4 linked regions of the Schizosaccharomyces pombe genome follow. Changing the gene in region 1 together with any one later gene gives a genetic interaction. Each region holds a gene or a part of one and is shown on either strand. Other genes may lie near its edges.

Region 1 (4,328 bases):
TTGCAAACTTGGTGGGTGAGCCAGCTACACAAAAAAGTTCTATCGCTTTAGTTTCTAAAATGGTTTCCTTATGGGGAGGTAAGGATGGAATTGCTGGATTCGAAAATTTTACTTTATCATTGACACCATTATGTTTTGAAATGCCTGTTAACCCAAATTTTAACACCCGTGATGGTCAGTCTTTGGTAGTTTTAGGGGAACTGGCTGGATTACAAAAAATAATACTTGAAAAGCTAGGTGATATATACAAGTCATATCTTGTAACGGTGTATTTTCCCACCGTCAACTTTCCGGACGTAATGGCTTCTGAATATTTACAAGCTTTATCAAATCTGGATAGTAGATCATTCAAACAATTTTTTCAAAAATTTATTCAAGCATTAAAAAGTGGTAATGTATGAGAAGCTTTTGCTTTTCACGGTTTATACATAGGGTGTTTATACAAACATTTCAATAAAAATGATTATTTCGGACTTGTTGGATCATTGTGGTGCAACGTCTAGTAAAATATATCGTGAGCTGTAGATTGATAGATTCGTCTAACGGGAAGCATTATTTTGTCTAGATGTTTTATGCTGCTGTCGGTATTATTCAATTTATAAAAAGATGTTTAGCTTCAGAATGTCCGTTCTCTTGAGGTGGTGCACGCTTTCCTTAAAACGTCACCTCTTGCTCTCTTGCCTATTATCAATCAGTCTTATTTTTTTGAATATAAATAAACTGACAAAAAAAATCGTTTCTCTTATTAAAATTAATTGACTATACCCAAACAAGTTACGAATTAAGCATTCTTAAAATGGACATTACTGAAACAGATTTGGATGCTTTGAAATGCAGATCGAGTGCTACAAAAAGCGGATATATTCATGATCCTTTTATAAAATTCTTTAGTCCTAGTCGAAATTCGCATAAACCTCCTATCATAAATCGAGGAACCTATGTTAGAACATGGTCTATAGACCACATTCTTCAAAAATTCATAGAATCTTTTGATGGTAAAAAACAAATTATTTCACTAGGAGCCGGTACTGATACTCGAGTATTTCGATATATTGTATGCTTATGCTAAAACAAAAGATAAATGCAGTCTTTACTAACTACAGTAAGTCTGAATACGGACCTGAAAATTTAAAATTTATTGAATTCGATTTTTACCCAAATTGTATACGGAAAATTCGAACAATTGAGAAGCATGAAGCGTTAAAGCAAAACATCGGGGATTATGTTGTGGGTGAGCTAATTTTAGAAAAGTTGACTTACAAATTATTAATTTGCTGACCATAAAAGACATTTCTGGAGGGTCTTTAGTTTCTGGCTCTTTGGACATATATTCTTACGATATTCGAGAAATAGTCCATAAAGGATTTCCTGGGTTTGTAGATTTTTCTTTGCCGACTATTGTTCTGTCAGAATGTTGTTTGTGTTATTTGGAACCTGAAGAAGCTAGTTCATTATGCCGGTGGTTTCAAAATATGTTTGCAACTTCTGGCATTGTTGTTTATGAACCTATTCAGGGGATGGATAACTTTGGAAAAATGATGAAGGCTAATCTTTCTGTACGATGCTTGCATATCATTTCACAGATTAAGAACTAACAAAATTTAGGCAAGAGGAGTGATTCTTAAAACACTCGATTGTTATGAGACAACTGAGCAGCAAAGGATGAGGTTTCTTGATTATGGATACTCGGAAGTAATTGCAGAAGATTTTTTAACTATTGAAGAAACCTGGATACCCATAGAAGAAAAGAAAAGAACGATGAGCATAGAAATGCTTGATGAGTTGGAAGAATGGCAATTGTTAGCAAAGCATTACTGCTTAACTTTTGCAGCTACAGAAAACCTTTGGAATCAGATAATATTGCAACTTCCTCATTTAAAAACTTAATCAAATTATATAACTTTTACATCTGCTATAGATAAATTCAATTTTATACTTTTTTTTAAATTACGTATGTAACCTTTCAGTTCGTTAATATGTTCGTCGTCGAAACGGACTTATGCAACAAGAAACCCATTAGATATAAGTATTCGAAACCATTGAAGCACACTTCTCATGTTTGATTTGAATTTTTACTCTGAAGCCTGATAGCAATTGTTGATAATGGACGCCCCTTTGATTGCCTCTGTTATTTTACCTGAGTTTGGAAAAGGAACCGTTGCTACAGATAATATCCCAATTGGTATGCTCAAAAAGCGAAGTAACCACTAAATCTTTTAGGAAAGATAATTATTCGGAAAAGGGTTGATATTTTGAGCTTAGATTCTGCTAATCTGACGCGCACTTGCTCGACTTGCACGGAAGAGAAGGTGAAAACGCAACGCTGCGCGGCATGTAAAATAATTCATTACTGTTCCAAGGTAAACAAGTCTATTATGTTTTCGTAAAACAGATTTACAATCTGGCGAATTTGCTTATCGAGCTTTCAATTACAAACTCAATTTGTTCGTGAAAAGCGACTACTCATTTTAACTTAGTACTAACAGGCTTTTTAGGGTTGTCAGAAAGCAGACTGGCCTTTCCACAAATTAGAATGCAAAGCACTACAAGCGTCAAAGCAAAACGGTATACTACCTTCTGTATGTCGGTTATTAATACGATTGTATCTCTTATGGCAAAAAAATCCTGCTATCATTGAACCTATGGAAGGACACCAAAACGAATTTCAAGCTGTATCCTCCAGTTGGTCAGATGCAGAATTAATTGCTTCTGCAGCCTCACATTATACCCAAATTTATCAAGCAGAACTGTTTCAAAAACTTTTCTGTAGGCTAGCTGTTAATGCTATGAATCTTGTAACTTCGTCTTTCGATTCTTTGGGTATGTGTTTAGATACTATACTCTGTCGCTTAAATCATTCTTGTGATCCAAATTGCCAAATAATTTTCGATGGTGCAATTGTGCAGCTTGTTTCTAAACGTGATATTAAGAAAGATGAACAGCTTTTCATCTCATACATTGATATTCGACTTCCAAAGTCAATCAGACAGAAACAGCTTCTCAAAAAGTATTTTTTTTCTTGTTATTGTCCAAGGTGTGAGAACGACCACACTACAAAAGAAACAGATGGTTCAAAATGGATGGGACGACTTCGCAACTCTAAATCGCTTATGAAAAATTTAGCAATGGCCAGGGACTTATGGTCCTGTGGTTGGAAACAAACCGCTTTTCCTTGGTCCAATCTTTTACATCATATTAAACTAGGAATGCTTGATGAGTCTAATTTCAATGGTGCGTTTGCCGCTTTATATCTGAAAAGTAGTGCTGATGAATTTTTGGATGCACTTCATGTGGTTGATGAGTATCAATTACTGCTTTTGGGAAAGCAAGTGGCTATGGAAGTAAAGCATTTAATGTTTCCTAATGACAAACCTTTGGAGATGGAGTTCCCGTCCAGCTCTCAACCTCAGCAGACTGTACCTACCAATAACTCGTTATTTTTATTGAAGAATATACCATCATTTGGAGGGTTACACCACTGTATTTTGGGCCGCTATTCTATTTCCCTTGATGATTTTGTTTTGTGGCTTTTAGATAGGGCTCAAAGGCTACAGCAAGCAGTTAGAATAAGTCATCCTTCGACCACATTTTGTTCAAATGTGGAAAATGACATTAAAGAAATATTTGAGGTTTGTAAAGACTATTGCATGCTTCATGTTCAAAACAATTTGAAAGCATTTGAAGAAAAATTATGGGCCGCTTGTAAAGACTTCCTAGTAACATACTAAATAAAATTTATTATTCTCGAAACAACGACTTGCTTTACAAGTGTAAAGTCTCTTATATTCAAATCAACAACACGGGGCACCAGTGGTACATTAACATTTAAAGTAAGCTAAAATTACATTTATCAAACGAAAAATACTATTACGAATGGAGCACTAAAAAAAAATTGGTAAAATAAAACCAACACGGCGATTTATTTTTATGAAAGCGTAATGAAAACAAGGGATCATTTGGTTTAGTCGAAAAGACCGAAACCCATCTAAAATTGTTAGTAAGATGCTTTTGAGAAACAAAGAATGCTTCTTATCTAAAATTAACTTACGTCTTCATCAGATTCCTCCTCTTCCTTGGCTTCCTCCTTAGCAGCCTCCTCAGCAGCAGGGGCAGCACCGCCAGCAGCGGCGGCAGGAGCAGCAGAAGCAGCACCACCAGTGGGGACAGTAGCAAGCTTCTCGTTACCAGCAGCGATGAGCTCGTCGATATCCTTACCGTTAAGCTCGTTGATCAAAGTTTCAATGCGCTCAGATTCAGCTTCAATACCGACAGTAGACAAAACAGACTCGATATCAGAAGCGGAAGGGGAGTCCTTTCCACCAACGGTC
Region 2 (4,621 bases), on another chromosome or scaffold:
GCTTCAAAATTTTATATGACTGCAGTTACTTCCGTTTATTTTCAACAAGAAAGGAGTAATTAACAATACAGTAAGGATGCAGTGAAGTTAAAAAAAATAAATAAATAAAATAAAAATTGGAAAGAAATAATATAGAAACTGATTGATATTAGTTAAATTTTTTGTACTCACTAATAAAACCTCATGCTTTTCTTTTTTTTAATTTATATGATAAAAAATTTATTGATAATAACTCTCAAGACTAAGTGCTATGATTCTACTAACTACAGAGTTATTTCACTTCTTTTGGCTGATTTTGTTTGTCAAGCATTTCATTGATTAACGACATGAGAATTGTTAAAAAAATTTCACCATTTTTGTAATTAAATATTTACTACAAATGAAGAACTGAAGGTTTAACGTAAATTGTTACGTGACTGATAAAAAGAGGAACCTCTCAAAGGATTTTTAATACTTGGGAAGCAATTAATTAAGCATAACAATAGAACACTGTATTAATTTATCTACGGACTTCTGTATACATCTTTACATGCAAACACAATAAGCTCTTGATAAAAATAACCAGGAAAAACGGTGTTACATATTAAAATATTGCTACTGTATATAAAATCTCGTCCCTTTGAATCCAGTCTATACTTCTATAATGTTCAAACATGCTTTCAAACTTCCAACCTTCATTGAACCTGTCCACATCGCAAGGAACATGTGACCTGGTAAAGATGGCAAAAATTGTTGGGAGCAGTAGGTGCAAAAGTTAGAGCTTCGGCAGATGTTTCGAAAACAAACAGAAAATTGCAAGGAAGACATAAAGAAAACAAAACCAATAAAGCAGAAAATGTATAAAAACTAGCTATCTTCTGCTAAAACTCACATTTAAGTTACACAAAGTTGTGTACGATTGTTCTGCTATTTAACGCTTTAGCTATTTCACAACCGAACCTATGCGGTAATGAATGCAATCATGCACAAACCAATCTGATGTTTAGTACAGCTTCAACAAAAGTTTTTCGAGTTTGATCGAAAATTTAAGGACAATTAAATTTTTCTACAACAACAGAAAATAAAATGGTTTGACAGTGAATCCTCGACAATACTATCATTGGTATCAATTCCTTGCTATCCACAACTTATAATTATAGCGTTACGTTAAAATATTTTATATTATTTTTAACAAACACCATTATGTTACGAATAAAAAAGAAATTTCATAATGGAATACAAGTTGACTCAACGGATTCTATAATAAGTGTCAGGTAGGTATATCCCTTTTTTTTTCGACCATACTAAAATCAATCAACATTCATTTTTTATTTTGAGAAACTTGAAGGTGTTCGAAATTAATGTAATTTTTTTAATTGATCTGCCGTAAATATTAAAAATCCTAAAACAACGAAATCTAAGTCTGATTACGTTATAGAGATCATTTATGGATTGGCCGAATTCTTCTTTCATTTCTCCTTACAAGCATCTTATTTTTCCCTAATTTGTAAAGAAAGTATTTCATAAAGCCTCAATAATTGTTTCTGTGTATCTTTTTTTTACCTATCAGTTTCATGCGTCAGTTTGCCATTCTAAGTAACAATGTTTCTCCACGCGGTTTACTGACTTTGAGGCTTTGAATTTTTGTCGTTCTAACCTATACCTTGAAAACAAACAGGCCTTTCAGCTTAACCTACCCTTTTCATTCTGCTGTTTGCAGAGAAAAGACTTTGACGATTGAAAATTTCTGGCATTTGAATTGACTTTTGTTGGGAACATTTTGATCAATTTACTTTTAGAGTGATTACTCCTTATTCCTGTTTTTTGAGAAGCTTTTGTTGATAGACCGCATAATAATCTTATCCTATTATTTATAGGAAATACTTTTTTTTCTTGTTATACTTTAACCGGTTTCACTGTTGATCGACCTTATTGGTTTTTTCTTTTTTTTTTTGCTTTTCCTTGATTTGATTCCTGTTGTTGTGTGGAATTCGGTTTAACTAGTGAAAAAGTTTTCTTAAGGATTCAATCTTTTTATCCGTCATTTAGTGAAAAATTATGGGATTCTTTTCTTCTCTTGGCCAAATTAATGTTTGGAGCCTTCTAAGGCCCATTATCGAAAGTGACTTGGAAGTTATTGTGATCGCTTTGGGTGGTTATGTATTAGCTAAAAAAGGCTTTCTTCCTAGAGATGCTCAGAAGGTATGATTCATTTTACCCCCCGTTTTAAAGAAAAATGGAGCAGTGAAATAAAGAAATAAATTTTCAACTATTAAATTTCTTCTCTTCATTTATCTTTGCGTTCTCTAGTATTTTACTAACTTTACACAGGTAATATCCAGCCTGAACGTTTATTTCTTTACTCCTTGTCTAGTATTTGAAAAAGTTGGCAACGGTTTGAATTTGAAGATGCTGATTGATCTTTCTCTTTTACCCGTGTTTTATGTTATCATCTCCGCAGCGTAAGTATTTAAGTCATTCACTTTGCTAACTTTCAGTTCTATTCTGATATCATTTTTACTTGCAAAACTCTTCCGACTGACACCTCGCCAAAGGAATTTCGCCACTGCCTGCATAACGTTTCAAAACGTACGTACCTTACCTGCAAGAATATTGTTCGTTTGTTTTTGTTTACTAACTCTTTAGTCAAATTCCTTACCTTTGGCCTTGGTATCTTCTTTAGCTACTACTGTAAAGGATTTGCTATGGGACAAAATTCCCGATGATACACCTGATAAGGTTGCTTCACGCGGTATTATGTATTTGCTTATTTTCTCTCAGTTAGGTCAAGCTCTTCGTTGGTCCTATGGTTATCGTATTCTCCTTTCTCCGAATCAACCGGAGGACCCTCTACCTATCGGTAACCGTTCTTGGTCACATAGCGATGTTAATGAAGAAGAAATTCAGAATTTGTTGGCTTCTAGTGCAAATGTAGATGGGGTTCAAAATTCTGTTCAGGCAAATGAGGGCTCAACTGTTCAAACTGATTCTTCTGCGATTTCCAAAAATGACAACGTTCAAGTTGAAACCTCTAACGAAGAAGTTGGTGGGTTTGGAGCAGCCTCTTCGAAGATCTCGAAGTTTATTGTTTTACTGTTAGATTTCTTCAGCCCTCCTTTATACTCCTTATTTATCGCCTTATTTATTGCTGTTGTTCCTCCTCTGCAACGCTTTTTCTTCGAAGAAGGTTCGTTCGTTGAAGGTAGCATCACCAGTGGTATTCGAATGGCTGGTCAAGTTGCTGTTCCTATGATTTTGGTAGTTTTGGGAGCAAGTCTTGCTACTGATATTTCCAAAACTGAACCTACTCAAGAAGTCCGTAAAAATAACGATACTCGAGTAATTATTGTGTGTCTTCTTGGCCGTATGGTAGTTGTTCCTCTGGCATTATTACCCGCTTTCAGTTTACTCTCATACTTCAGTGAAATAAGTACTGTTGATGATCCTGTTTTTGTTGTTGTTATTTTCTTGCTTGTGGGAAGCCCAACCGCCATTCAATTAACACAAATCTGCCAACTGAATGGTGTATTTGAACGCGAGTGTGCCAAAGTTTTATGGTGGTCTTATGCCGTCTTTACTCCTCCTAATTCGTTGTTGCTAGCCTTTGCTAGTCTTTTAGTTGTGAAATGGACAAAATAAAGTTAAAATCGTTAACGTCTGATGATTTTTGTTTTACAATATCGTTTTCTGCGTATACTTTAACAATTGAGAGCACACGGAAAGTTTACTTATCACATTAATTTAACATAGTCAATTGGTCAAACGTAGTGACTCGATATTGATTAACCTGGCGGTCTTTTTCCATTTCGAAAAGCTCACATTTAATATGTTTTTATTGGTTTAACTGGTATTATTAATACCGCTAAATAGTTTTTTTTAATCTTTTATTGTTTTCTTTTTAAACTCTGTTTGCTCTTATACAATGCATAAGAAATCACTTTCCATTTTCAATTTCTATAATGTTTGGATATCATGTTCATAATGATTCGTTATTGAAGTGTTCAGCTTTGTTGGACCTCGATAGCAACTTAAGTTATATCGTCTTTCTAATATAAAGTTTATTTTATGCGGCGTTTACCACAACGTCCCAAAAATCAAATATGTTGGTATAAATATTAGTTGACCGAATTGTTTTACTATTATAGTTTGATTATTTAATCAAGAATCAAGTAACACGGCGCTCAATATTATTAAAGGAAATAAAGCAATAATAGTATCAATTCGAAGAAAATGTGAAAGAAATATTGGATCAATACTATGTTCCATAATGGCGATTCATAATGATTCTCATTCTTTCATCGTTAAGGTCGTTCGTTACATAGCTAACTACACCGCGTTGAAAACACTGCTCATTAGGCTTCCAACAGCAATTTTCCCTTACTACTGACATTGCATTGTATATTTTGTTCACTATTTCTACAACCATCAGTAGCTTAGCTTTAGTAGACGCTTAAGAGATAAAAGAAATCAATTTCGGTGAGGTGCGATGCTATGCAAGAACTGTATCTTTTAGGAGTAGTCCCCTCGAGGCGTTTTGAAGCAGTTGTAAATTCTTTATCAAAAACGTTGGATGGTCCGAAAACAATATTGGAGTTTTGGGTAGTTTACCGTCCTAAAGGTATGTCGTGAAAAATGCATATGT
Region 3 (4,469 bases), 2.3 Mb from region 1:
CTTCACCTTTGTAAGTATTTAGGCTTTATCGTCGTCCATGCATCAGCAACATATCTGACAAACGGGTCATGGCCGCCAAAAGTATCTCTTCAGGAATGGGATCATTTAGAAAAGAAACTGGGAATGGGTTAAAAGAAATACTTTTGGCAGTGGAGTCTACGAGCTCTTTTTGTACGACATTGTCTTGTAAAACAAGAACAGCATGCCGAAACGAACTTGGTAAACTCGCTTCTAACTCTTTTGAAGTAATAGCTGAAGTCTGACTGTTGATTTGAACAACAAAGTCATATCCACCTTTGTAAGGAGAACTTTTACACAGCTGAGAAGAAAGACATGACCGCACCTTGTAACCCCAATAATGACCACCTTTTTCTCGTGGAGCTGAAAAAGACACGATATCACCTTGAAGCTGGCCTTCTTCGTTTGGAGACTGCGCTTTTAATCGAACCGTGACCCTTGTTCTAGGAGCAAGGACGCTGGGGCTGGAAACGATTACATTGTGAGATAGTCCAGCATTTATAATATATTTATTCTTTGCTTGCGGAGATGGATGAGTAACGATTCCCTCTCGGTATGGGAATTCAATATTCACTGTGCTAGCCTTGTCATTTCTGAGGGGAAGTAATGGAAAGCAGCTAGTATATTTTAGATGTGGATTTAGTGGAAACAATTCCTTCCTCATAAAGAAAGGCGTTTCGAAATAGCATAATAAGTCCGTGAGAAATTTTGTGGGATCCTTTAAATAAGCATCAGAGGAAAGTGTATGTACCTGGGTGTTTTGCACATATTCAGGGTCCTCTAGCAAAATAATTTCGTCAATACCATATAGAGAAACTATTCTCGAAATCTATATTTTGAGTTAATACGCGACAACAACGAATCTTTCAAACCTTCCAGACAAAACTCGTTTTAAGCTGCAAATTGTATGCTACATTTAGACTTGAAATAGGTAATGCTAAAGATATCGTATATCGTCTCGTTGGTGGTAAGCTTTGTATTTCGCTTTCTTTTTCCATAGCAGTTTCTGTAAGCAATTAATGAGAAGTAATAATATGGCCCAAGTAGCAGTATTTTATTTACTTTTTGCTGTCTTGGGAAACAGAATATTAGGATTTGGCTTTTTATAAAAATTTTAACGTCTTAAAAAGTTGGTGAAGAGTAAAGGCATGAATTTCATTTACCAGGCTAAAAACCGTCCATTTAATATAATTAAACTAATTTTAAATTTTTTTTGAAGTATTGATCAAGGTAAAGGGATATTTTATATCAATACTTTTATTGATAGGTAAAAAAAAAAATCCTGTACTTCATAAACAATGAAAAAAATTCAAACAAACAAATGTGTTTAATGCCATTCAATGAGTGCGATTTAAACTATCAATGAGTCTTCGTAAATACCAAAGGGCTATAGAATCCCCTTTTTTTTTTTTTTTTTTTTTCTTTATATGGAAATAATAAAAAAAATGGTGTACACTTTGCTTGCAATTTATATAAACCAACTATACACGCCGAAGCTTGTATATAACCGCTGTAAAAATTTGTTAGTAGAAAAAACAAGATGATATTTTATTAATTACATACATAATTTTTTAAGTCAATAGAAGTTCATCGACTCTGATTCAATTCATCTTCAATCTTACTCTATTTACTATTTACTTTTATGATTTTCGCTATATAATGAGTAGCACCGGGTATAACGCTATAACAGTTTAAAGTATAATTTCAATATCACTAAAAAAATCTAAAAACACGTTAGAGTACGTTAGGTAGGATGCATCGTACACGTTAATCAAAATCCTTCGAATGTCGAACACGCAGACTACAAATACAGCCAAGTTGCTGCCAATTATAAAAGCAACGTTTCTCTGCTCTTAGTACGTGGTTGGGTGGATCCTGATTTCTGTAAAAATCATATTCAATATCAATAACCAGTCCATCTTGACTCGTAGTCTTTGAAACGGTGTAAAAGGATTGTTGTCAGGATAAGCTATAATCTATTGTTGTTTAAATTGTAGAATCTTCCTCTTTTTTAAATATCGCCGATATAGCTTGACAAAAAGGCTCATTTTGAAAGCTAGGCGTTGTGTTCTCGCAAGGTTTCTTTCATTATCCGGTTTTTCGTATTTCTTAGTGAAAACGCCCTCTGTAACATCTTTACTGTTTTAATTTTCGGATATACTCGCGTATATATCGTTGGATCATTTATTTGCATTTAAAAAAGGGCCATATATATTCCATTTTCTTTACGACCCAGATCTTTATACCTTTTTTTCTCTTCTCTATTTATACCTTCTCGATTTACAGATATTCTCTTACCTTCTTTTCTACATTATTTGCACATTTAAAAAACCCCTAAGGTTTATTCTTTTAAACCGTTATCTTGTTCCATAGACGCGCATAACCAACTCATTTTTTCTCGCAAACTGTTTGTTTTGCACTTTTTTACTTTGTATTCTGCAAGATGTTCAACTTTCGTTTATTTTCTCGTAGAGGAAAAAGTTTAGGTCTCTTGGCCATCGTTTTATTGCTTTTTGGCTTTTATTCTTTAAAGTCTTCAATGCCTGTTTATTCCAATTCGATTGGTTCTCCCAGTGCCCATTCCTCTTCATACAAAGGTGTTTCTAAGGCGAAAACATCTCCACAAGATCCTGATTCCGTAGTCATGTTGATTGTTAGTTTTGACGACCATTATGATTCAAGTAGATCTGACTCCAGCTCTGTCTTCCTGGATAAAGTGCTTTCTGATCGTACAGAGTATGCCTTGCGTCATGGCTATACCCTAGTCCACAAGAAAGCCCGCGATATTCAAGCGAGGTATGGTGTCTATGGTACTTGGAGTATTATCCCAGCTTTGAGGGAAACTTTGGCTGAGTATCCCGACGCTGGCTGGATATGGTTGCTCGATGCAAAGGCTGTTATAATGAATCCTTCCGAATCTCTCAAGGATAGGGTCTTGAAACCAGAAAAACTGTCGCAGCATTTGCTTCTTAATTCTCCGATCGATCCATTAAAGAACTACATCCGTACACGCCGTAAAATGGATCCATCTGATGTATTTGTAATTACCACCAGTGATTATAATGGAATTAGTACGCGTTCTTTGCTTATTAAAAATAACAACTTTGCGCCATTTCTTTTAGATGCTTGGAATGAACCTTTGTTGAAATCCGCCGGTTTTGATCAAGCTGAGCGATCTGCGCTATCCCACTTATTGGAAGCACATAACACTATCTTGGATCATGTTGCACTTGTGTCTCCTAAAGTTTTAAATTCATACACCAACTCTGCGGTCGATTTGAATTACGAAGAAGGTGATTTCTTGGTTATTCTTCAGGACTGTGAGAACGCTGCTGCATGCGAGCGTATATTCGAGTATGTATTCTATTTATCATCTTGGTCTCTTGTATTTTTACTAACACTTCCAGCAACTACTATCAACAGAGAAAACTTCCAGCCATTAAAAAGCAGCTTTCGGAAGAAACGGTTGATGAACAATCGTAGGTTAGTACTGTCTTAGCATCTTACTTTCATTTCCAGTAACTCATCTTCATCTAAACCTATCTTTCAAATTCGGTGGTTTGCATATTCCTACATTAATTTAATGAATTTATACTTAATTTCCTTTGTTTGATCAAGGGAAGATATGTTTTTCGTTTACGGAAATACATCGCAGATTGGTTTACAAGTCAAGCAATTCATATGTTATATTCATCAAATCTTCTTAATGAAAGCACGTTAATTGCTATTCTATGCAAAGAAAGAAACATTTATTATGTTTGACCTGAAATCCACATAAACCCAGTTGAATAACATTAATGCATTTCATGGCGACATAGAGACATAGATGCTGTTGAAACATCACTCATGCAAAAAAAAGAGGCTGAAACATTTTTAAAGTAATTATAACTTCAAAATAAATTCTATAAACTAAATGATAAGAATAGATTAGTAACGATAGTGATCAGCCTTGTAAGGACCGTCAACAGGGATACCCAAGTAGTCGGATTGAACAGAAGTCAAAGTAGTAAGTTTGACACCGAGTTTACCCAAATGAAGACGGGCAACCTCCTCATCCAACTTCTTGGGAAGCATATGAACACCAAGAGGATAGCTGGTGTTATCGGTCCACAAAGCGATTTGGGCAAGGACCTGGTTAGTGAAAGAGCAGGACATAACAAAAGAGGGATGTCCGGTGGCACAACCAAGGTTAACGAGACGACCATCAGCTAAAAGAATGATATGACGACCGTTCTTCAATTCATAACGATCAACCTGGGGCTTGATGTTAACAACATCCTTAGCGTTAGCCTTCAACCAAGCGACATCGATCTCGACATCAAAATGACCAATGTTACAAACGATAGAGTCCTCCTTCATTTCGTTGAAGTGCTCACCACGAATAATGTCACGGCAACCAGTGGTGGTAACAAAGATTTGACCTTCCTTAACAGCCTCTTCCATAGTGGTGA
Region 4 (4,392 bases), on another chromosome or scaffold:
AAATCAAATAAAGTAACTTTTTAATTAAAATACCAATCTTTTGCTACAACTTCCAATACCATCATCACCTTGTCCTGTTTGCGTAGATATCTGTCGATAACCAACCTTCGTCGCCTATTTACCATCACCTTATTTTAACTGTGTTTTGAAGTTGAACGTAAAAAAAATTTCTGAAATGTCAAAATCGCTTATTGTTTCGTCGCCAGGAAAAACGATTTTGTTTGGGGAACATGCCGTTGTATATGGAGCTGTAAGTTTACCTAAGGTTTAAAGCAGATTACATTAGCGAGAGTTTTTAACAGGCTAGTACTGGATACAGCTCTGTTATGCATATATGATTTCTTTGTAACATAGTATTTGCAAAGCGAACACCACTTTTAACTTTGACAGTCGTCGCAAATGTCATTCTGCTATAGCCATGCTTATTTTTGATTCTAATCTTAAGCCATTTTAAAGCGAAAATATGGAGATCATTTAAATTTTTATGCTAACTTTCTAGACTGCGTTAGCTGCAGCTGTATCGTTACGGAGTTACTGTAAATTACAGACGACTAATAACAATGAAATAGTAATTGTGATGAGTGATATAGGGACCGAACGCCGATGGAATCTTCAATCGCTACCTTGGCAGCATGTAACAGTGGAAAACGTTCAGCACCCGGCATCATCTCCCAATCTGGACCTTTTACAAGGATTAGGAGAGCTATTAAAAAATGAAGAAAACGGACTTATTCACTCAGCAATGCTTTGTACCCTTTACTTGTTCACGTCTTTGTCTTCTCCTTCTCAGGGTTGTACTTTAACTATTAGCTCCCAAGTACCTTTGGGTGCTGGATTAGGTAGTAGTGCTACTATATCAGTTGTTGTCGCTACAAGTTTACTACTAGCTTTTGGTAATATTGAACCTCCTAGCTCAAATTCTCTTCAAAACAACAAAGCACTTGCGTTGATAGAGGCTTGGTCTTTTCTAGGTGAATGCTGTATTCATGGAACACCAAGTGGTATTGATAATGCAGTAGCAACAAATGGAGGACTTATCGCTTTTCGTAAAGCTACAGCTCATCAGAGTGCCATGAAAGAATTCTTAAAGCCTAAAGATACCTTATCTGTTATGATCACTGATACCAAACAACCAAAAAGTACTAAAAAACTTGTACAAGGAGTTTTTGAACTGAAGGAAAGACTACCAACTGTGATTGACTCAATAATAGATGCAATCGATGGCATATCAAAGTCTGCCGTCCTCGCATTGACTTCGGAGAGCGATAAAAACTCCTCCGCTAAAAAGTTAGGAGAGTTTATTGTTCTTAATCAAAAACTCTTAGAATGCTTGGGTGTATCCCATTATTCCATTGATCGCGTTTTACAAGCCACTAAGTCAATTGGATGGACGAAGCTTACAGGTGCCGGTGGTGGAGGTTGTACGATTACTTTATTAACACCTGAGTGCAAAGAAGAGGAATTTAAGTTATGTAAAGAATCACTATTAGCCCATAAAAATTCTATTTACGATGTTCAATTAGGTGGACCTGGTGTTTCAGTGGTAACCGACTCAGATTCATTTTTCCCTCAATATGAGTCTGACTTTGATTTTAAAAAATTGAATTTACTCAGCAAATTTAATAAATATTATATTTAAAGTTTTTATGTATAATCAAATTTTCATAACTGGTATATATATGAGTGGCTTGATAATGAACGCGGCTTGTCGTTCACCAACCACCACAGTAGAAGCTAGTCTATAAGAGTCGTTGTCCGTTCTTTAGCAACACTCCTTTCCACTCTTTTATATATCAACTATATACCAAATTTCATCTTTTCTTTCTTTTTTTAGTATTAGACGCGTTTTATCTAGTATTTTCTAAAAAAATGCGTACTACTTTCGCGACCGTCGCTTTAGCTTTTTTATCGACCGTTGGAGCTTTGCCCTATGCTCCTAACCATCGCCATCACCGTCGTGATGATGATGGCGTTTTAACCGTGTATGAGACTATCTTGGAGACTGTTTATGTTACCGCAGTTCCTGGTGCTAACTCATCTTCCTCATATACTTCTTACTCCACTGGTTTAGCTTCTGTTACCGAGTCGTCCGACGATGGTGCTTCAACGGCTTTACCTACTACCTCTACGGAATCTGTGGTTGTAACAACCAGTGCCCCTGCTGCTAGTTCCTCTGCCACTAGCTACCCTGCCACTTTTGTTAGTACTCCTCTATATACTATGGACAACGTTACTGCACCCGTATGGTCCAATACTTCTGTCCCTGTATCAACTCCCGAGACATCTGCCACTTCTAGTTCTGAATTTTTCACTTCGTATCCTGCTACCAGTTCCGAATCTAGCTCTTCTTATCCTGCTTCTAGTACTGAAGTTGCTAGCTCTTATTCTGCTTCTAGTACTGAAGTTACTAGTTCTTATCCTGCTAGCTCTGAAGTTGCTACGTCAACTTCATCCTATGTGGCTCCTGTCTCGTCTTCAGTTGCTTCTTCATCAGAGATATCAGCTGGCTCTGCTACATCTTACGTCCCCACTTCCTCATCATCTATTGCTCTTTCTTCTGTAGTTGCAAGTGCCAGTGTTTCTGCTGCTAACAAGGGAGTTAGTACTCCTGCTGTTTCTTCAGCTGCCGCCTCCTCTTCAGCTGTCGTTTCCTCTGTTGTCTCTAGTGCCACTTCTGTTGCTGCTTCTAGTACTATTTCCAGTGCTACCTCAAGCTCTGCATCAGCATCTCCTACTAGTTCTTCAGTTTCTGGCAAGCGCGGTTTGGCCTGGATTCCTGGAACTGACCTTGGTTACTCTGATAACTTTGTCAATAAGGGCATCAACTGGTATTACAACTGGGGTAGTTATTCATCTGGTCTGAGTTCCTCTTTTGAATATGTTCTCAACCAACATGATGCCAATAGCCTTTCTTCAGCTTCTTCTGTTTTCACTGGTGGTGCTACCGTCATTGGATTTAATGAGCCTGATTTGTCCGCTGCTGGAAATCCTATAGATGCAGCTACTGCAGCTAGTTATTATCTTCAATACTTAACACCTCTTCGTGAATCTGGTGCCATTGGTTATTTGGGATCACCTGCCATCAGTAACGTAGGTGAAGATTGGCTTTCTGAATTCATGAGCGCATGCTCTGATTGTAAGATCGATTTCATTGCTTGCCATTGGTATGGTATTGACTTTAGCAATTTGCAAGATTATATTAACTCTCTCGCCAATTACGGTCTCCCTATTTGGCTTACTGAATTTGCTTGCACCAACTGGGATGATAGCAATTTACCTTCATTGGATGAAGTTAAGACTTTGATGACCAGCGCTCTTGGCTTTTTAGATGGACATGGATCTGTTGAGCGTTACAGTTGGTTTGCTCCTGCTACCGAACTCGGAGCCGGTGTTGGTAATAACAATGCCCTTATCAGTTCCTCTGGTGGATTAAGTGAAGTCGGAGAGATTTATATTTCTTGAACTCCTTAAATTTACACAAAATGGGAAATTATCTTGTGAGATATAATGGTAATTCTTATGCTTTTTTTTCGTTCTTTAAACTGTCAAATACTCTTATTTCTTCTTGCTCTGAAACTCTTTTTTATGATATTTTGTTTCATGGTTTTTGTCGCTTTTTTTTGAATACTCTGCCATCTATCAGATTGTTTAAGCTTTCTGAACTATGCTTATAGGAGATGTGCTTCTTATTACATCGATCTTTCATTTATTCATTCGTTTATTTTACCAACCATGAAGTTCATTGTGTTTGATGTCACAATTTTTAAAGCGTGTATTCAATGAATATGCTGCGTGTTTTAATTTAATACAGTCGTTAAATGTCTTTTAAATTTTATTAGTAATCTTTTCTGTAAGCTTTGGAACTCTTGATAAAGTCGTTTAACTTTATTTGCTGACATTGTTGATGATCTGTAGTATAAAGGTAAATAATAAGCGAAAGTCTCGTCTATAAAATGAAAACAAATGCATAATTGACTGCTGTAATGATAAAACAACTATTTCTCCATTGCGCCATTGTGGGTGGTTTGATATCTGGGTGTTCTTTACATGCTTGTTTGCCTCTTTTCAAAAGGAGGTCTTAGCAACTTTGGACACACGAACAAGAAAAGGCTTATTGAACTATAGGATATTAGAAGCATGAGCAATTTAAGAGACATCACAAACTTAATTAGCAGATATTAAAAGAAAAAGTTATCTCGAATCTCTTGCGAAAAATTTATTAAAGTAACCTTTTTTTTGCATAGTTCTTTGCAGCAGATTTAACTTACGCCGAGTAATCTAGTACTAGATTCTTAACCTGCTCTACTCACTGTAATCATAAAAAGAAACTCTACTCATGCCCCTCTTACAAATGTTTTCAACCGGACGAAAGCAACCATCTCAAAAGTCAAG

Evidence for each region.
Region 2: mutations in set6 (region 1) and SPOM_SPAC5D6.04 together harm fitness less than expected from each alone (positive genetic interaction), as found in Schizosaccharomyces pombe (one large-scale study listed by BioGRID).
Region 3: mutations in set6 (region 1) and gmh4 together harm fitness more than expected from each alone (negative genetic interaction), as found in Schizosaccharomyces pombe (one large-scale study listed by BioGRID).
Region 4: mutations in set6 (region 1) and asl1 together harm fitness less than expected from each alone (positive genetic interaction), as found in Schizosaccharomyces pombe (one large-scale study listed by BioGRID).

The regions. Positions count from the first base shown.
Region 1 is NC_003423.3:3,643,218-3,647,545, reverse strand, and holds set6 (histone lysine methyltransferase Set6), read left to right. Parts: upstream 1-2,006; 5' UTR 2,007-2,103; coding exon 2,104-2,182; exon of another isoform or gene 2,183-2,220; coding exon 2,221-2,360; intron 2,361-2,495; coding exon 2,496-3,728; 3' UTR 3,729-3,753; downstream 3,754-4,328. Other genes in the region: karyopherin exportin-T Los1, read left to right, coding at 1-401; leucine carboxyl methyltransferase Ppm1, read left to right, coding at 797-1,054, 1,108-1,231, 1,288-1,556, 1,606-1,887; rpp201 (ribosomal protein P2), read right to left, coding at 3,962-3,985, 4,049-4,328.
Region 2 is NC_003424.3:1,504,588-1,509,208, reverse strand, and holds SPOM_SPAC5D6.04 (auxin family transmembrane transporter), read left to right. Parts: upstream 1-1,633; 5' UTR 1,634-2,037; coding exon 2,038-2,181; exon of another isoform or gene 2,182-2,310; coding exon 2,311-2,441; exon of another isoform or gene 2,442-2,477; coding exon 2,478-2,568; exon of another isoform or gene 2,569-2,625; coding exon 2,626-3,618; 3' UTR 3,619-4,121; downstream 4,122-4,621. Other genes in the region: mediator complex subunit Med18, read left to right, coding at 4,471-4,597.
Region 3 is NC_003423.3:1,387,722-1,392,190, forward strand, and holds gmh4 (alpha-1,2-galactosyltransferase Gmh4), read left to right. Parts: upstream 1-1,814; 5' UTR 1,815-2,461; coding exon 2,462-3,372; intron 3,373-3,425; coding exon 3,426-3,501; 3' UTR 3,502-3,945; downstream 3,946-4,469. Other genes in the region: SPOM_SPBC8D2.16C (uncharacterized protein), read right to left, coding at 26-847, 891-1,016; SPOM_SPBC8D2.18C (adenosylhomocysteinase), read right to left, coding at 3,946-4,469.
Region 4 is NC_003424.3:191,366-195,757, reverse strand, and holds asl1 (O-glucosyl hydrolase Asl1), read left to right. Parts: upstream 1-1,707; 5' UTR 1,708-1,869; coding exon 1,870-3,462; 3' UTR 3,463-3,830; downstream 3,831-4,392. Other genes in the region: mevalonate kinase Erg12, read left to right, coding at 176-250, 500-1,639.